Linked DNA regions of Oryzias latipes. The protein of the gene in region 4 purifies or fractionates together with the protein of the main gene of each other region. This does not show direct contact. Links are inferred from orthologs where the notes say so. Each region holds a gene or a part of one and is shown on either strand. Other genes may lie near its edges.

What was found.
Region 1: the proteins of prkar2b (region 4) and cAMP-dependent protein kinase catalytic subunit beta purify together in Homo sapiens (affinity purification with mass spectrometry; 7 studies listed by BioGRID and IntAct, counting the BioPlex papers as one, with this or other methods). This does not show direct contact. The link is inferred for Oryzias latipes from reciprocal best matches to the Homo sapiens genes PRKAR2B and PRKACB.
Region 2: the proteins of prkar2b (region 4) and akap9 purify together in Homo sapiens (affinity purification with mass spectrometry; 3 studies listed by BioGRID and IntAct, counting the BioPlex papers as one, with this or other methods). This does not show direct contact. The link is inferred for Oryzias latipes from reciprocal best matches to the Homo sapiens genes PRKAR2B and AKAP9.
Region 3: the proteins of prkar2b (region 4) and akap1 purify together in Homo sapiens (affinity purification with mass spectrometry; 3 studies listed by BioGRID and IntAct, counting the BioPlex papers as one, with this or other methods). This does not show direct contact. The link is inferred for Oryzias latipes from reciprocal best matches to the Homo sapiens genes PRKAR2B and AKAP1.

Annotation. Positions count from the first base shown.
Region 1 is NC_019875.2:26,776,255-26,781,269, forward strand, and holds the start of cAMP-dependent protein kinase catalytic subunit beta, read right to left. Parts: upstream 3,026-5,015; 5' UTR 2,782-3,025; coding exon 2,736-2,781; intron 1-2,735. UniProt on the Homo sapiens protein: Mediates cAMP-dependent signaling triggered by receptor binding to GPCRs.
Region 2 is NC_019869.2:358,322-363,604, reverse strand, and holds the start of akap9 (A-kinase anchor protein 9), read right to left. Parts: upstream 3,235-5,283; 5' UTR 3,054-3,234; coding exon 3,006-3,053; intron 1-3,005. UniProt on the Homo sapiens protein: Scaffolding protein that assembles several protein kinases and phosphatases on the centrosome and Golgi apparatus. Required to maintain the integrity of the Golgi apparatus. Required for microtubule nucleation at the cis-side of the Golgi apparatus.
Region 3 is NC_019871.2:30,772,914-30,777,403, reverse strand, and holds part of akap1 (A-kinase anchor protein 1, mitochondrial), read right to left. Parts: intron 4,347-4,490; 5' UTR 4,328-4,346; coding exon 2,920-4,327; intron 2,345-2,919; coding exon 2,220-2,344; intron 2,148-2,219; coding exon 2,021-2,147; intron 1,954-2,020; coding exon 1,826-1,953; intron 1,747-1,825; coding exon 1,569-1,746; intron 1,494-1,568; coding exon 1,343-1,493; intron 484-1,342; coding exon 416-483; intron 212-415; coding exon 138-211; intron 64-137; coding exon 1-63.
Region 4 is NC_019864.2:13,969,937-13,974,426, reverse strand, and holds part of prkar2b (cAMP-dependent protein kinase type II-beta regulatory subunit), read right to left. Parts: coding exon 4,423-4,490; intron 4,324-4,422; coding exon 4,170-4,323; intron 3,081-4,169; coding exon 2,979-3,080; intron 2,897-2,978; coding exon 2,822-2,896; intron 2,727-2,821; coding exon 2,658-2,726; intron 2,574-2,657; coding exon 2,435-2,573; intron 1-2,434. UniProt on the Homo sapiens protein: Regulatory subunit of the cAMP-dependent protein kinases involved in cAMP signaling in cells. Type II regulatory chains mediate membrane association by binding to anchoring proteins, including the MAP2 kinase.

The DNA.
Region 1 (5,015 bases), on a different chromosome or scaffold from region 4:
CACATATGTAAAACCACACATCCTGTCAGACCTGTAAAACGTTTTCGTCCACTCTTTTACCAACAACACATGCAATGTTGCAATGAAAAAAATGAAATGAGGATAAATAAAATATGTAAAACATTGAAAACAGTCATCCCTCGTTTATCGCAGGAGTTATGCTCTAAAAACACCCACGAGAGGTCAAATCCACAAAGTAGTCAACTTTATTTTTTAGCTATAATTCTAGATGTTTTAAGGCTATAAACCCCCATTGTAGAAAAATGAATCCAGTATTAAAGAAAGAAACTAAAGATCTGCTAGAGATTGGAGATTTTTGCAAATCTTGCAAGCTGAACGCATTCTGTATAGAAGAAACATCACAGAGATTGATTGATAATCGTCTACAGCCAATCAGGATACAATGTGCTGTAAAAAGAAAAAGAATGCAAAATTGCACTAAAAAGCTGGAAAAAAAACAGCGAGACCACGAAAAATGAACCGCGATATATAGCGAGGGACCACTGTGCAGATTTTAAAAACGATAAACATGAACGTAGACGATTATCTACTCTCTGACAGGAAACAGCACTTCTTAATATGTGTCAAGCTTTTGACCAATTCAAGTGACAGGAATGAGGGAACGTGATTCTCACGTCACAATTTAAAATCCATAGGTAGTTTAAAATATTGCTGACATTTTTTAAAAGCAAATAAACATATTTCATCTATAGGAACCGGGGGGTGACATCAGTGTAACAGAAAAACACACCAAAAAATATGTTCAGTGGTCCGCTTGGTCTTTTATTTTTAAGGAAAAGTGGGTCTGGGTTCTTCTGGGTTAAAAGAAAAAGTAAATTGTTTAATGAGTTTTGTTTACTTTTCCTGTCAAACCAGAAAAACACAGAAACACGGGTACTGTGAAAGGCCATCGGTGTCATGGCGGCACAAGTTAAACCTTGCTGTCCATCCGTGACTGCGCTGATGATCTAACTGTTGCAGCCACTGACCTTAGTGTACAGTAAACACCAGGCGCTGTAGGTTACCTGGTTGTTTGTCGGGAGCAGCTACGCTAGAAACAAATCTGCCAGTCAGGGCACCGTGTCATCTTAAAACAGGTTTAACAGTTAGCCGCCGCACAAGATACGGGGATCACAGGTGCGTTTAAAAGAAAAAGAGTCCCGATTCCATCACTAATCTGATCATCTCTGTCTCCGGAGAGGCTGCTGGTTGGATTCTTGGTTCAAGCATTTTAAGCAGAGTCACAGCAAAACCTTGATCTTTTATCAAAAATATGAAGAAGAAGAAAAAAATCTGTGAAAAAGAAGAGGTGCTTTCCATCGTATTCGTACGTTTGTGGTCATCAGAAAACACAATAAATCTCAACAACTTTCACGGTTTACGACCAGGTATGAGGAAACAGTTCTGATTTACTACTGTGGTGTTCAATGATGATCAGCTGCACACATCAGACTATATGAGCGTAAAGTAACACTGGCCCAGGTCCAGTTACGTCAAACCTTTCAAAGCTTGTAATACCCCCTTATCCTCTGACGAAGGTCCGATGACAAGCTGCTCCAGTCAATGACAAGCCGAGTGTGAGAAGTGAGCCCTGATGGACCTTCACCACGGCAAGATTAGAGAAGAGCTTCAACACAAACACAAGTGGGGGGGGGGTTCGATGGTGTTGGGTTTTTGTTTTTCTTCTTCTTAAGCGTGTGCACACATCTGCCACAAAGGCAGTAGTAAGCCCCCGTTTTATGAATGGAAAGAAGGGATTTGTCATTTCTTCACCATATTTGGTCATGGCGCTGTACAGAGGGAATGTTTTGTTTATGCGCCTAAGAATAAAACGTGGCACTGAAGCCAGAGGGGGGGGGGGGGGGGGGGGCAGTTGCTCACCGACTTCAAAGTGAACCGCAACGCCCGTTTACTCCAATTAGTCACGGCTCTTGGGCTTCATTTAAAGTTAAGTTTTACTGGAGATTCGAGATCCAAATTTCTGTTCAACAGCTGGCTCTGTGCTGATGATGATGATGATGATGGTGGCGGTGAGCCCGCAGCCAAAAGGCACAGCGAAAGCCACATCCCCCTGCTGTCAGGCAGAGACAGAAGCCCGGGATGACACAACGCGAAGGTGATGATGCCTTCAATGTAAACACGGCCAACCAAACGGCCTCAGGCCGGACACAGGAAATGACCGCACGCCGGGGCTAACGGTCTCGGCCCTAAATAGCTTCCAAGGGGGAACGAGGGGCCTTATGAGGGCTAATCCCCCCCCTTCAAAGCTAAAGTTAGCAAGCTAGCTCCTCTCCAGATTTCGTTACCGACTAGCAGCCAACACAAACTTTCAATTATAACATTTTGGGTATTCATTAAGATTCATATCTTTCGGGAGCGTCTTTTTTTAGCAGCGTGTTTTTTACTTCGTCTCTCTGCTTCTCTCTTCCCCACTCCCGGGATGCAAGACAGCAACACAGTCTCGGGGTTTCCAACAACTTACTAATTCTTTAAATACTGTGATTTCAATAATGTGCAAAAAAACAACAACATTTTTTTTCACGCCATGAGAAGGGACGGGTTCGCGCAGAGATGGCAGATAACGGAGGAATGAAGTCGGGTTAGCGGCCGGCCCTCACCGCCTCTACAGCGGTTTCCAGCAAACGAGCGCGTCGCCGCTGTAAAAAAAGTGTCACCGGCGTCTCTGATGGTGGATGCTAGCGGAACACGGCGGCCCGCTCCCGGCGCACACTCACCGCTCTCCAGCTCGTTGCCCTTCTTGGCTGTGGCGGCGTTCCCCATGGTGTGGAAGACACGGCGGCCGCTCCGACTTAGAGGAGGAGATGGCGGCGGCGACGGCGGTGCAGGCTAGCTAACCTCCCTTCCACTTGATGATTCGGAGGTCTTGGCGTTTCCTCCGGTGAAACGGACAAACCACTCTCGCTTTCTACTGGAAATGAGGGGAGGTGATGTCTGGAGTCCCTTCCGGCGGTCCCCGCGCGCGCCCTCTCCCGCTCCTCCTTCCCCGTGAACGGTTTCCGCTGCTGCTACTCGGCTGCTGCCTGCTCGGCTGGCATGGAGCTAGCGGTCACTGGTGTTTGTGTGACTAAGCTGCTCCCCGGCCCTCAGCTGCCTTCACGGTGGGCTCGGATTGGCTCCACGAGTCGGTGACAAGATGCTAATCCGGGCTTGCTTCCGCATTTTTAGACTCGTACTTTGCAGTTGCTTTACTTTTATTTGAGACATTTTATTAAGAATCCAACTTCAATCTGGAATTTCATACCAAATTACATTTTCTCCAAATTAGGTGGCATAAACTTTCTTTTATTCTGTAACTATAATGTACAAAAGATCCCAATTAAGCTTTCTTGCTTCCATAAACAAATGTTACTTTCCTTGTCACTTATTTACAAACACCATTGTTTTCCACATAGATACGACATATGGAACAATAAAGACATTACATATAGACCTAAATCTTTATTTTATCCATCATGGTTTAATCAAAACATCCTTTTGGTCCATCAGCTGTTTAATTCAAACGGATCTTTGATGTCACATGAAGAATTCTGCTTCAATTATTCCATCAAAATACCAAAAACTGAGTTTAACATTGTTTTGACAGCAATTCTTAAATCTATTACTATGTTATTCAAAAGCTCATCATTGCAGAGTCCAACTTTATTACCAATTGATTCAACTAAAATAGAAATAGGCCAAATTTGTTTTTCTTCTTCACGTAACACAAATCACCGTATACGCTCACTCTTCCAGAAGGATGTTGTTTCCATTCCCTACGTAGTTTCTTTTTGGAATAATTTAGTTTGTCATTTAGAATGGAAAAAGATCTGGAAAGCGAAATACTTTTTAACCAATAAAGTGAAAGAAATCTCATTCAAACTGATCCAAAAATTCTATCCATCCAAACTATATCTGCAAAGGTTCAAAGAAAATATTGATGTTGCCTGCTCTTTCTGTCAAGAACACCCTGAAGATGTTGTACATTTATTTTGGTCATGTCTCTTTTCCACCACTCTCTGGTCTAAAGTTTGTCATTTCATTTCCGCCCACATTGACCGTGACTTTCGCCTGTACTTAGAAAATGTTATGTTTGGCCTCACCCACTGTCCATCTCATAAAAAAGAACAATTGTACATCATTAACCTTTTGTTGTTTTTATGCAAATGGCACATTCATAAATCAAAAGTTACGAATCATACCCCTCATTTCTCAAACTTTATCAATGAGTTCAAACAATACATTAACACAATAAGAAACTCTGACAATTAGAAAGCCATCAAAACATTTGGTCTGTGTGTCAGTTCCAATATATCTGCGTAAAATGAAACAATAACCCCCTGGCTTGTTCTTTCGTTGTTGCTGTTTAACATTGTTTTGTATTGAATTGTTACATTCAATAAAGTTCGAAAAAAAACAAACAAAAAAAACCCCTTTTATTTGGTAAAAGGTCTTTAAATCATCGCAAAATGCATGTTTAGAAGGAGAAAATAAAAGCATTTATCAAAGCAAATGACAACCTTAACGTATTTCCAACTTTATTTTATTCAAATTAATTCGTAAAGGCCCATTTAAGTAAAAAAAAAAAGTATTATTCTGACAAGAAATCTAAAGGAAGTTGTTTTTTAAAATGTATAACTTCCGTCTATTCTAGGGTCCCAAATAAATAAAGAAACCTACTTCAGGGACATGTCAACAATCTATTCTGTTTATTGTTTTTACACTGCTGCTTTTAACACAGTTAACCTTAAACTTATCTTTATATAAATATCCCCTCTGACTCCCCAGTTTGAATACTTTTTTATCTTTTTCCCTTAAAAAAAAAGCTATGTTGTTTCTACTTGTTTTTCTGAAACGCTATACCTTGCTTCTTGGTTCATTTTTTTATTTTTTTTTTCCATATATTATTTGTTATGAATGAATTCTCTTTAAGGTGTTATACCATGCTATTCTGAAGTCTTTTATAGTTAATATCCACGGATATGATAATATTGTAACGACCCAGCCGGATATATTAC
Region 2 (5,283 bases), on a different chromosome or scaffold from region 4:
CCTATATTAAGGACCTCATAGTCCCTTACCATCCAATCAGAACACTTCACTCACTAAATGCAGGACTGCTTGTGGTTCCTAGAATTAGTAAAAGTACGGTTGGAGGTAGAGCGTTTAGCCACCAAGCCCCTGTCTTATGGAATAAACTCCCAGCTCATGGAAGAGAGGCCGACTCAGTTTCTACATTCAAAGTTAGACTGAAAACATTCCTCTGTGGACAGGCTTATTGTCAGACTAGTTAGTATTCAGAGATTATTTAACTTAATGTTAATTTGTTTAAATTAAACTTAATAATAACTATTTCTTTTAAAAGGCTGCTAGAAGTTGAAGCTGGGGTAACTATGGTGCACTGGGGTTCTGTCCTCTTTTCTCATCTACTTCTACCCTTCCTCTCCTCTATTCTTGATCATTATTCATCATTTAGTTCTCCATGCCTCTGTTTGGTGCAGTGATTCATGTATTGTCCCACTTTTCCCTCCTGGGGAGTGGGAGTGCTTCCAGACTCCAGTTTGCTCATCCGTGCTCCTGTACCTGACCGTTTACCTCGCCTTTGCTCCTGCTCCTACACCTGGCTGTGGTTCCTGTCTCCGGCTCGACTCGCCCCCTGACTGTCCCCCCAACCACGGCTGGATGAAGCTCGTCTGCTGGACTTTATATGTGTAGTTGTAGATTTAGATAAGTTAATTCTTCTCTAAGAGTTCTGGTAAATTGCCTGTCCGTCCTGGGGGAGGATCCCTCCTTCATGTGGGCACCCCTGAGGTTTCTTCGTTTTTTCCGGAATCCGTTTTTTTGGGAGTTTTTCCTTACCGCGAAGGGGGGTCTAAGGGCAGGGATGCCAGTATAGCTTAGTCAGTTTGTTAGTTCATTTTAGTATTTTCCTATTGAACTCTTTGTATTCGTGATCCTTTTGAGTTCATGTTTCACATCGAAGCCCATCGAGACGACTGTTGTTGTGATTTTGGGCTATACAAATAAAATTATAGTGACTTGAATTAGAACCATCATGGCACTAGAAGTGAGGATCCTCCAGGTGTTCTCACTGGGTTCTAACAGGCAGTGGCGGTTCTACCCTGAATTACTCCCCGGGCGAGACCCTCCTCTGGCGCCCCCCCCCCCCCCCCCCCCCCCCCCCAATCGAGCCACTTTGTCCATTTATTGTAACTGAAAATACAGTTAGGAAATATTTAATCAAACACAAATAATCTGAAATAAATATAAACTACAAATCACACTAATAATACACTAGAATAAATGTAACTGCAGCACTAAGAACAGAAAACACTAACTAAAACCTAACCTTTGTGGCCTTCCTGATGCAAGCTTGTCAATAACGTCATCATATGAAATCTGCTCCCCCCCTGAATGATTGATACTAACAACAGCAGGTTAGTGAGTTGCTCCTGAGACATTGGTGATCTCAGGTATGACTTGATCAACTGGAGTTTTGAAAAGCTAACAACAGCAGCAGCAGCAGCAGCAGCAGCAGCAGCAGCAGCAGCAGCAGCAGCAGCAGCAGCAGCAGCAGCAGCAGCAGCAGCAGCAGCAGCAGCAGCAGCAGCAGCAGCATGCTACCATCACAGCTTATTTAACATTATGAACTAATATACAACAATGAAACACAACAAAAACTTTGTGTTACAGCAGACAGACACACGAATCATAACTAATGTTACAAGTTAAGGCAGAGCAAACATTTAAGAATAAATATCTTAAAAATGACGTTATTTGCAATATTTGGGCCTCCTTCAGTTTTGCTCATGATAGACCAAACAAGAGATTTTTCATCTGCAACGTTGTTGTTGTAGGGCAGATAGCATTCGAATTTAAAAAACGTGCATCTAGCTATGCTATATTACCCTTTTCTTTGTCTCTTTTCTCCTCTTCTTCTCTTTTCTTTCCTAATTGGGCACCAGCTTTGACCTTTTTTCTCCATATTTCAGATGCTTTTGCATTTAGCATAAATGTCCTGACATAGGTATCAAGTCTGTCGACTAAACCAACTGTCATCTAAGTGAAGAATTGTTTTTGTTTTCCCATTTTGTATTTGGGCATTTCATACAAAAATAACCAAAAAAGCATGATTTTTTTATACCCGCAGCCCCCCGTTCGTCAAACATTTCCAGCAGGAGCGCGTGCAGCTGCACCCAGGGGCGCCAATTCGCTACATGGCGGCGCAATTTTTATTTTTTCATCAAGCACTGAGCCGCGGCCCGCGACCGTTGCCCCCCTGGAAGAAGATCCAGCCAGGTTTGCGCATGCGTTTTGCGCTCCGTGCTCACCTCTCAGGCTGCACCCTTCACCCCGCGCCCCCTCCCTTCTCCTTCTTCACCCCGCGCCCCCTCCCTTCTCCTTCCCACACACATTTGCGTCTACTTCTCAAAGACAGGAGGGAGCGCAGCTGCGGGGCGGGGGCGCAGCCAGGTTTCAGGCTGTTACAAACTCTGTGATATAAGTAAACCAATAGTGGTGCATAAAGTATTTTACAAGAGCTGAGCCGCTGACGCCGCCCCTCCGTCATTTTTCCGCCCCGGGCGATCGCCCGTATGGCCCGTGCCTAAAACCGCTACTGCTAACAGGGTTCCTGTGGTTCTGTCAGTAGAACACCGGTGGAGCAGCAGCTCCTCATTAGCTCGTCCTGCTAATCCTGTTCCACCAGCCTGTAGTTCCCGTCAGAAAGAGTCTATCAGCTCCCTGTTTTCAGACGTTTTTGGTGAACCTGCGCGCGCTCACCTCCACCTGGCAGGTGACCGTGATACAAACGACAAACCAATAAAAACAGTAGAAGAACCGCGGAGCGTCTGGATGACAAAGGCTCCAGCAGCTAGCCCTGGCCATGCTAACACCCGGCTGTCAGACAGGGGAGCGCGTGACAGCTGAGCGGGGGGCACGCGGGACCCCCCCGTCCCGACAGCTGACAGCGCGAGCCACAAGGAAACAAGTGACTGTGGTCCCGAGTCAGAAAGTTCTCCGCGCGACTCGGAGTCGGCGCTTCCAGCCCCTCGTACCTTGGCTTTGCCCGCCTCCAGCTTCTTCTGCCGCTCCTCGTCCTCCATGCTCGCGGCCCCGGCGGCTAGAACCAGAGAGAACCCGCTTCAGACCAAACCCACATGAACGAGACCCGAACGGCGCTCCGCGAGCTCGCAGCCCGCCCTCACAGACGGGCAGCGCGAACTCGCTCTGCTTGTTGGCAGCCCGCCGCCATGTTTTCCACGTAAACATGAGACGGCGACGGTGACGTCTGGTAGGTGGACTTTAGCCACGCCCACTGCTACTTCACTGGCGGACACTTCACGGAGCGTCAGAAAAAAGACTTTCTGTCAGAAAAATGGTTTTTCTGTCGGTCTTTCTTTACTTTTATGACTTATTTACAAACTGTTTATTATAGTTGTTGTTATATTGGAAATTTTAAACCTAAGCATTTTACAGAAAACGTGAATTTAGTGTATTTTTTTCTCAATGCGAAATTTGTATTTTAAAAAGTCAAACATCAGGAAGACGCTCAGTTCATGTTTGCCAGGATTAAATTTTATTCTTAATTCTGTACCTGAGATTTTTCTCCTCCAACTTCTTAGTTTTTGTTTAAAGTGCAATAAAAAAATGAGCTATTAAGCTGCATTCTGGTGCAAGCATCCATGCTTTTTAAGCGTAATGTATTTGTACGCTGTCCCAATCAATAAACAATCAATAAATAAACAAACTAACAAAAGAGTTGGCTTAAATATAACACCAAGAAACATTTGCTTTATTATCTATGAAGCTGTTCACTTTTGAGTTCATTTATTTCTTTTGATCAGATTACAGTTGTCCTTTTTATGTGTTTTATCAAATATCTATTTGTATTAAAATCTTATAAGACTCTGCAAATTACATCAGGAATAAATGTGTTTATTTTTTAACAAACAGATCTGTGAAATTTTATGTTAAAGTCAACATTTTCGCTAACTCAGCTGGACAGAAGCAGAGGTCAAATTCAAAGCTAGCATGAATCTGGTGGACAGGTAAAAGGCCATGAAAGTCATGGGAAATGTGAAAAGAATAAATAGTTTGATAGAAATGTTCCTCTTTTGTGATCAGGCAAACAAAAAACTATTTTACGTTTATTCATAGACCATTCTGGATGATCAGATGACAAATCATAAACTATTAAAACTTCCTCCAGAATAACTTCTTTGTCACCATAAATGCTGTCAAAGTGCCCTTCACTGAAAACCTCAGCTCCAAACATTTGTTCCTCCTGAATTGGGAACGTACCTGCAGCACCCGTCGGTGACGGCGCTCTGGGTCTCCGGCTGACCGGAACTGAGCAGCTTATAGTCTGGCAGATCCTAAACTCTACTCTCCTTTTGGACATTTTTACCGACTGGCTCTGACCCGAGAGCAGCAGCTGTCCGCGAGTAACTAAAACTCTCTGAAGTTTGGTCAGTTTCTGAATTATTCATTTCTTCAGGGAGCAGGCTGGGTCTCCAGTTACCTGAGCAGCTTTGTGAGCAGGTGTGGATCAAGACGGGCCGCCTCTTTAATGTTGAAAACACAACAGTTTAAGGATTCAGTCAAGATCTACAACCTCAATTCACACAACTGTTTGACAGTTTTCAAAGAAAACAATCGTAGAACATTACTACGAGAAGAATCAGACACATTAGTCCAAAACACGGTAACAGCAGACATCCAAACCTTCAACTATGGTGAAGAAAAGCTTGTGTTAGTCTTCTCCTTTTCCTTTCTCCACAGCCAATCAGCTTCCTCCGTCTGTCCCCTGCATCCTCTACCAGCAGCTACCTTCATGTCTTCCTTCTCTGCATCCAGAAACCTCCTCTCTAGGGGGCGCCCTGGGGGGGGGGGGGGGGGTGCTAGTCCTTAGGGAGGTCAGGGCATGAATGGTGGGGCTGGACCTCCTGCCCCTCCGTTTTGGCACCGGGCCCCTTCCCTGCTGGCTGTCTCTCACACAGGCACATAGGGCTCCGGGAACTGGATGGGTGGGGTATGCTGGCGGGGCTCACTGGGGGCATCTCTCTCTGGGGTCGCGTCGGCGCCCACCCTCCATCCCGCTTTTACTTGCATATTAGACACCCTGATTCATCTAGGACCTTATGGGGAGGGTCTGGAGGAGGGGGGCACGGGGAAACATCCGTGCTCATCTTTCACTGCCCCCCCCCCACAAGTTTAACTTCCACCTGAGACACACACACTGCATGCTAGCAGCACACACACAGCAAATACACACCACACACAGAGGGACCCCGGAGTGGGGGGCTGTGCGGCTTGGCAGCGGTGGGGCCCCCC
Region 3 (4,490 bases), on a different chromosome or scaffold from region 4:
TTCTCCAAGCATGTTCCACAGGTGGACCAGCGGCAGCCCCGTGTTGTTGTCATAGTTGGATACCTTCACACAGAGCAGAGGATCGGGCCGTTACATGAAGCCGGTCTGGTGAGGCTTCAGTCGGGCGCTTGTCTCACCTGTGCCAGCAGGGCCACACCTCTGGTGATTTCCTCAAAGGCCGACGTGGCCTCTGAGGAGAAACGGTCCTCCCCTGATGGAGAAGATCACAAACGTTACACAGCTGGTGGTTCCACGAGAAAACAAGCTGCCTGCTGGGAAAACCACCAGCAGACGGCGAGGCTGAGGCAGCCAAAGAAAATGCCACCACTTCTTTGAAAAAGGATCGAATATGAACGTCCCGACTCCAATTCAGAGATTTGACTGAAGAAAAAAGTTAAAGTGACCAGCAAGGTACCTGGGAGAGGGGCGATGTTGTCCAGCAGCACCTCTGCACCTTGAAATGGTAGAGTCACAAAGTCGGATCTAAAGATAAGAAACACCACAGAGGTAGAGGTTAATGAGGGTCAGACTCTTTTGGACTTCACCTGCACACAATCACAAGAAGCAATGACACACTGAATGATGGAAGAACAAAAGGGGAACGTAATGCACAGTTCTGTCCCAAAACGCCATCCGTGCTGCTCTGTAGAGGACAGCTGAAGACCCAGTCCCATAACCTAACGTTGGCATTTTTCTCATTGATAAAGAAAATTCATCCTAAAAGTGCTTTTCTGACCATCTCTTCCGATGGTTGATGAAAAAGCCTTGTAGTAGAAAACATGCTCTCACAAAACTGAAGGGGGCGGGGTCGCTCTGTGCAAACCCAGAGGAATATCTAATGAACTCATACTGCTCTGCAGAAACTAAGTCCAAGAAAACGTTTATTATGGCTAAAAACGGCATAACCATAACTAAAGAGCACTATACGCTTTGAGATGGATTAAAGGTGAACGGAGTGGGATTCCTACAGCCTGTATATATGGCTGTTTTGGGAAACAGAACAGAATCATTTACCATAATTTAGGATTTTACCTTTACCTCATGTTTGCCTTTTTTAAAGGACATTTAAGGATTACACACATACACCCACAGTAGCACACTCTGTTTATGTCCATAAAGGTGCTCATGCATCCTGCTGACCACGTCTTAAAGTTGAGTCGGGGCAGCTGGACCTCAAGTCCAAGTGTGAACGGACCAGCCTCCTGGCCTGACAAAGGCCGGGGAACTGACCGCTTCACCTGCAGTCTGTCACTAGATGAACCTGAACCTGCTGACTCCATCAAGGTCCAGACCAGATGCTAGAGAGCAGAGGACCGCCCACAAACGGCCCGGTGGCACTCGCCTGATCTGCCGTAGAGCATCGATCTTGACTCGGTCGTAGCCTCCGTAGTCCACGTATCTGATCTCCACCTCGTTGGTCTCCTTGTAGAAGGTGATGACCTGAGCTCTCCACCAGGCTCCTTCGCCTGCAGGAGCTGCACAGATGACACCGACTGCAGGAGAGAGGAGAGCAGGTGAGCTGCCACAGGCACACTAGAGGAGGTCCGGATGCTGGGACAGGAACCCACCTTCAGCAGGGGACGGCAGCGCCGGCGTGCCGGGCTGCGAGTAGCACAGAAACATCTGCTGGTCCAGGCTCCTCAGGGCGTGGTAGGTGGGGTGGGTGTGCTGCTGGACAAAGATGTGGCCCGCTGACACGATGTTGACCACGATCACCTCCACCGTCACGCCGCTGGGCAGAAGCAGCTGTAGAGACGAGCACACAGGACAGGCCTCAACATCCCTCTTCAGCGTCCCAGACTGCCAGCGCAGAGCTCGTCCTTACCCAGGACGTCATGGGGAGCGAGGGCAGCGTGAGCGGTGGTGGAGGGGGCGCGTACAAGTTGGTCAGGTCCAGGTCTTTGAACTTTTTGCCGATAAGTGAGAGGGCTTTGTCCACCTGCTGCTGCTCACCTGGAGAGAAGTGAAGGGGTCAGAGGCTCATGGGGAGTCCAGGTGTGTCCCTGTAACACTGCCTCACCCTCAATGTGACAGATCTGGAAGTCTTGTGTGTACGGCAGGGTGGAGATGTAGATCTTTGCACCAGAGCTCTGCTTCAGGTAGCTTACGTATCTCCCCTGCTTTCCGATCAGCCGCCCCACAAAACGCTGGAAGAGAAAGTTGGCGAGGTCAGGACGCCGCTCCGTCTGCAGCCTTTAACGCCCGGAGGTTCTACTCACATTTGGCACTTCGATCTCCCAGATGACGAGTCCTGAGCTGGAGGAGGCGGCGCCGCTCGCCTGGCCCTCTGCAGCCCCCATGGTGCAGCCGCTGTCCACAGAGTCCATGCTGTTGACGTCAGAACCTGGACACAGAGACGCAGGAGAACATGCAGGCTGTCCTTCAGATCCCATCCTGAGTTTGTTTGAAACTTCAACTCTTAAGCTCTAGTTCTGCTGGTCTCATGAGTGGGAAGTTACAGGAGGACAGGTGAGACAAACGTGATCATCACCACGGCAACTGTCAGGGCAGCAGTTCCAGAGCCACAAACGCAGTCTGCTATTAGGAATCCAGGCAGAACTGGGCTCAAACGGAAGTTCTGAAGGGACGTTTCAGATCAAATGTCTGTCTCTTCATTGCCGACTCTGCAAATCGTTTGAAATCTCCCTTTTCTCCTGGACCCCACCCTTCTATGTCTTCTCTCAGACTGCATACCCCATCCCTTCTTTTGGGGTTTAACCCTGACCCGGGTCAGCACAGGTGAGCCTGGGTCATGCTGCTGTAACCTATTTGGTTACTACCTCTGGGGTAGTTTAGCCTCTGCTACCCCATGCACCACCTGCGCTACACCTGCCCTATGGATCCTCTGTTGCTCTCCCCAACATGACTTAAAATTACCCATCAGCCCCCAGCCACAGCAGGGCCGAGCCCTCCCCTCACCTCCGGACTGGTCCGTGTCTGCCTCACAGGTGATGTGTGCTCCGTTTTTGAGGCCGAGCCCATTCAGCCTCTTGATGGCGCTGTCCTCGGTGCTGCTGTCAGGCTGGGACGAGCCGCCGTCCTCTGACAGGTGGCTCACCTGGACGGCCTCGGCCGGTCTGTCGAAGGCGCTGCTCTGCAACTCCTCGCTGCTGACGCCGTCCTCAGAGTGGCATGTGCTGCAGGCGGAGTCCTCCGCCAGCGCCACTCCCTCTCCGCCTTTCTCTTTGGTGTTTAAAGGGGGAGGGGCTTGGTGGGAGGGTGAAGACCAGCCGTCGCTACGGACCTCATCTGTCCGAGGAATACTGGCCCCACCAGCGCCCCATCCTGCTGTTGAGGAGCAGCCATTGTGGAGCTGCTCCTCTGCTACGCCTCCTGGCGACGAGCTCGTCAGGACTTGACAGTGAAGTGACACCCCCGCCTCCTCCTCCTGTAGGCGTGGCTCCTCGCCGGTCCGGCCGCGGTCCGGCTCCCTGCAGCTGGAGACCCCGAGGACCTCCTGAGTGGCTGCAGAGATGACCTCGGTTATAAGTCCAGCTGCCAGGAGCTCCAGCTCCTCCGCGCCTCCCTGGAGGGCGTTTTCTGCTGAAAAGGTGGGGCACGTGGGCGTGCTGGTCAGGATGTGTTGATGTAAATTCTGCACAGATGGGGGGGGCGTCTCCAGAGGGTCAGCCTCTGACGGGGTGCCCCCGGAGCCTTTGGGGGGGGTGTGCGGGCAGATGAACTCGTGTTGCGAATGGACAAAACCCTGATGCTTCGCAACTTCACCCTCTGGCTCTGGTCGCTCCGCGTCAGTCAGAGGCGCCGCTGTGCACGAGATGCTGACATCACAAGCCTGGGGGGGCAGGTAGGCCCCCCCGGAGGCTCCTGAAGCGACTCCTGAGTCTTCATCTGGACGTCTCTCCAACGAAGCAAACAGGGAGCCCCCCTCTGGCTCCGTGTGCTCCTTCAACAGTCGCTCTGAGAACTCCTGATCTTCATGAGAAGCCAGAGGAGAGTCTGGGGCCTCAAACTCCCCCAGGCCTGTTCTGCAGGGGGGCGGCGAAGCATCTTCACAACCTAGGTCCAGTGAAGGTGCTGTTTTAGAGTCCTGGGAGCCCCCCTCATGCTGTGAGCTCAAGTCATTGACCCCTGCAGGTCTGAGGGTGGGGCAGTCTGCTTCCTGTGGGCAGTGCACAGTGCCTTTTTCAACCAAACCATTGCTGCCTTCAGCCTGACATGCTTTAAGGCTCACAGGGGTGGGAGGGGCCTCTGACGCGCCCTGGCCGACCAGCCGCTCTTTCTTCCGGGAGGTGAACCACCACCAGCCGATCAGAACCAGGACCCCAGGCAGCGTGTAGGGAACCACAGAGCGAAACCTCAGAGGCATTTCCTCGGTAGTCCGACAGCTGAAAGACAGAGAGACCCCCCCATCAGGAGAGCAAAGACACAAACGACCGCCATGCAGACGACGATCATGCAGACAACCACGCAGACGACCACCACGACAATCACAACCAAGCTGACGACAACCACGCAGAGGACAATCACGT
Region 4 (4,490 bases):
AAACACAGCATTAATTTTCATTGTTATGCCGACGATACGCAGTTGTATTTATCCATGAAGCCTGACCAGAATGACCAGATAGAGAAACTGAACGCCTGCATCAGTGACATCAAGACCTGGATGACAATTAATTACCTCCTCTTGAACCCAGAAAAAACTGAGGTCATTATACTTGGTCCTAAAAACCTCAGAGATGCTCTGTCTGCTCAGATAGTCTCCCTGGATGGTATAAGTATAGCCCCCAATTCCACAGTTAGAAACCTTGGGGTTTTACTTGACCAGGATTTATCATTTAAGGCTCACATATCTCAGGCATGTAGAACTGCCTTTTTTCACCTGCGGAATATTGCTAAGATCAGAAATATACTTTCTAAGAGTGATGCTGAAAAACTCATCCATGCATTTGTTACGTCGAGGCTGGATTACTGTAACTCCTTGTTAGCAGCGTGTCCTAAGAGTTCCTTAAGAAGTCTCCAGCTTGTTCAGAACGCAGCTGCTAGATTGTTAGCTGGAACCAGCAGAAGAGATCACATCACTCCTGTGTTAGTTTCGCTCCATTGGCTCCCAGTTGATTCTAGAATTAAGTTCAAGATCCTCCTGTTAACCTATAAGGCCTTACATGGAATGGCCCCGTCCTATATTAAGGACCTCATAGTCCCTTACCAACCAATCAGAACACTTCGCTCGCAAAATGCAGGACTGCTTGTGGTTCCTAGAATTGGTAAAAGTACGGTTGGAGGTAGAGCGTTTAGCCACCAAGCCCCTGTCTTATGGAATAAACTCCCAGCTCATATAAGAGAGGCCGACTCAGTTTCTACATTCAAAGCTAGACTGAAAACATTCCTCTTTGGACAGGCTTATTGTCAGACTAGTTAGTATTCAGAGATTATTTAACTTAATGTTAGTTTGTTTAAATTAAACTTAATAATAACTATTTCTTTTAAAAGGCTGCTAGAAGTTGAAGCTGGGGTAACTATGGTGCACTGGGGTTCTGTCCTCTTTCCTTTTTTTACTTCTACCCTTCCTCTCCTCTATTCTTGATCATTATTCATCATTTAGTTCTCCATGCCTCTGTTTGGTACAGTGCGATTCATGTATTGTCCCTCTTTTCCTCTCCCCTCCTGGGGAGTGGGAGTGCTTCCAGACTCCAGTTGGCTCATCCGTGCTCCAGTTCCTGACCGTTTACCTCGCCTTTGCTCCTGCTCCTACACCTGGCTGTGGATCCTGCCTCTGGCTCATCTCTGGCTCGTCTCTGCTCTGTACCTGACCGAGTACCTCGTCTCTGCTCCTGCTCCTACACCTGGCTGTGGATCCTGCCTCTGGCTCATCTCTGGCTCGTCTCTGCTCTGTACCTGACCGAGTACCTCGTCTCTGCTCCTGCTCCTACACCTGGCTGTGGTTCCTGTCTCCGGCTCGACTCGCGCCTTTGACTGTCCCGATAACCACGGCTGGATGAAGCTCGTCTGCTGGACTTTTATATATGTAGTTGTAGATTTAGATAAGTTAATTCTTCTCTAAGATTTCTGGTAAATCGCCTGTCCGTCCTGGGGGAGGATCCCTCCTTCATGTGGGCACCCCTGAGGTTTCTTCGTTTTTTCCGGAATCCGGTTTTTTTGGGAGTTTTTCCTTACCGCGAAGGGGGGTCTAAGGGCAGGGATGCCAGTATAGCTTAGTCAGTTTGTTAGTTCATTTTAGTATTTTTCTATTGAACTCTTTGTATTCGTGATCCTTTTGATTTCATGTTTTACTTCGAAGCCCATCGAGACGACTGTTGTTGTGATTTTGGGCTATACAAATAAAATTGAATTGAATTGAATTGAATTAATAAAGAACTGCAGTTCTTTATTAGTTAGTCATGGGGAAGTGAAACCCCTATATGTACATTTTTGCTTTTTTTATGCATTATTTTCTTGTCCTTATCTGTTTTGAACAACGAATGACAGAAGTGAAGCTGTCATTCACTCAGATGTGTTTGTCAAAGAAACAGAACTATGTCCTTACACAAAAAAAAAACAATCCTGGAGCTAAAACTTACCCTTAGCAAAAAGTAGTACGCTTGAGTTTTATTTTAATAAGTAAACTTGAGTACAAGTATTACTATAGGAAGTCTACTATACATGATGTTTGTGTAGTGTAGGAAGTATACTTACTGAATACTTCTTCAGACTAAATTGGAACATTCTAAGTTTACAATAAATAGATAGTATATAAAAAGTAAACTTAATATATTATGCCTCATTTATATATAGTATAGACTAAGTATACTTGCATAAATAGACTACTTTAGCTATGGGCATCGCTGAGGTTTTCTCATAACACAACTCCCTTTGCGAGTTCAACCTAAATCAAAAGAAGCTGACTGAAGAATGACTAGACACAGCATTTTCGCTTGGCGGACACCAACAACATAAATAAGGCAACTGCACAAATGTACCCAGGCATTTGACACTCCCCACAGCATAGGCAGATGCGGCTCTTGGCTTGTTTGTGACCAGAGCCAGCTCCCCAAAATACTGGCCCCTCGTGCAGGTCGCAATTTCCACCTCTTCCTCCTCCTGATCCTTTTTTGTCATCTGATGGGAAAGAAAAATAAAGACAATAAGGAAATCCTACACCATCATAGATCTATATACTGTATTACAGGAACAACTGCATACCCGGCTTCTCTTCATTGTGATTCTAACTTGGCCACTCTCAACTATGTAGAAGCAGTCTGCCAAGTCACCCTGGAAGGAAGGCAAATTCTTGTGAAGAGAACCAAACCCAGTATCAAGACACAAAAGAAAACAAAATATTAGTAAATAAGGGAAATATGCCTCACCTGAGCAATAATTTGCTGTGAATCGTTGTACACCCTGGTGGAGAGGACATCTACCACCTTCATTCTCTCTGATGTCTGCGGGCAGAAGAACATTACACTGCGTTCAGTCTAAATGCATAGTGGGCTTTGGTAACTCTAGATCAAGGACTGTCTTGACCTCTAAAGATGTCAGAAGTGGTAGTGTTTCGATGAATGCCTCATAAAGCCTCCTCTTCTTGGCGTTGTTCTTCACTATGATTCTCCTGAATGTCAGACGATCCTGAATGAATAAAAAACAGTGTAAGTCATGAAAAACACTCACATTTTAATATATCTTTTAACCATAACTATTTAAATCTATGTCTTTTGTTCTTTGTAACTATCTATAAATAAAAATATCAAAGGTAAAAACCCAGAATCCACAGAGACAGACATCACTGTGTGACTTTTTTTGTATGTATGCTCCAGCTCTTTGTAACAAACAATAATTCATATAAACTCATGGAATGTAAAGCAGCTCCAGATATAGAAAAAATGCACTTTTTGTGTTGCTTTAAATAATGCAAGACCCTCGCTGTTGCATGTCACTTCAGCAACTTCCATGTAACAGAGTGGGTGACGCCCCTCTGGAGGATTTGTAGCTGCTGCAGGGAGCATCAAGCTGCTAAAATCTCCATACCTGACTGAGTCACTTGGGCCTAAGTGGCTCTGATTAACCACTACAAATTACTGCTTGCTCAGATGTTGTGTGGCAGAAAAGCCTCCGTCCAAAACTGACCGCTGACCGCACACTCAGCGGCATTCTTCAAGAGCTCAGGTCAGCGGGGGACACAGCGGCACACCACCTGCTCCATGCAGGTAGATCAGAGTTCCCTTATTTAAGGGAACGACCCTCAATCATGACTCATTTCAGGGACTGAGTCAGAAACGAACAAGTCACGTCGCTTTAAGGGGTCAAGTTGCAACTGCATCCTCACACAATTGTGGTGGCATCCAAAGCAATTCAATGCTGGTTAAAGAAATGACACTTTGATGCTAAAAAGATCCTAAAATCAAACACAACATGCTTGAAATTTGCTCAAACATTCTCAGTTATAACAGAAATAAAACCTTTGTTACATTTGCTACTTTTTCATGATTGCAAGCGTTCCTAAAATCATATCTGGAGTGCATGTAAATGCTGTTATTTCTGCCTATCCCGTATCCTGTGTGTTTAAGCGGTAAAACAAGATCTTTTCTCAGGGTTACCAGGGAGTCACGCTGCTACAAACAAGCTATTTAAATTGTACCAACTGACTGCACAGCGTGCTAGAAAAACTAAGTAAGGAGCCAGCTGTGCTCTTGCAAGAGGAAGTGATGGTTTACTCACCAGGCACCAAAGGGCTCCAGGCGAGGTGGCAATGATTGTGGCTGCTCTGGGGGTGTTGTACATCAGCGCTAGTTCTCCAAAACTGCCTCTGTTGTCATAGCAGCCCACCAACTTCTCAATGCCATCCACCTTCACGAAAATGTTAAATGTCCCACTGGACAAACACAAGCAGAAGATAAACAACCAGCATGAAGAGGAAGAGAAGTCATTTACAACATGCAGTGAGGAGAAAAGAAAAAAGCTCTGAAGGCACCTTTCAATAACGTAGAAGTTGTCCCCATCATCATCCTGATCAATGATGTGCTCTCCTTCTGTGCAGAA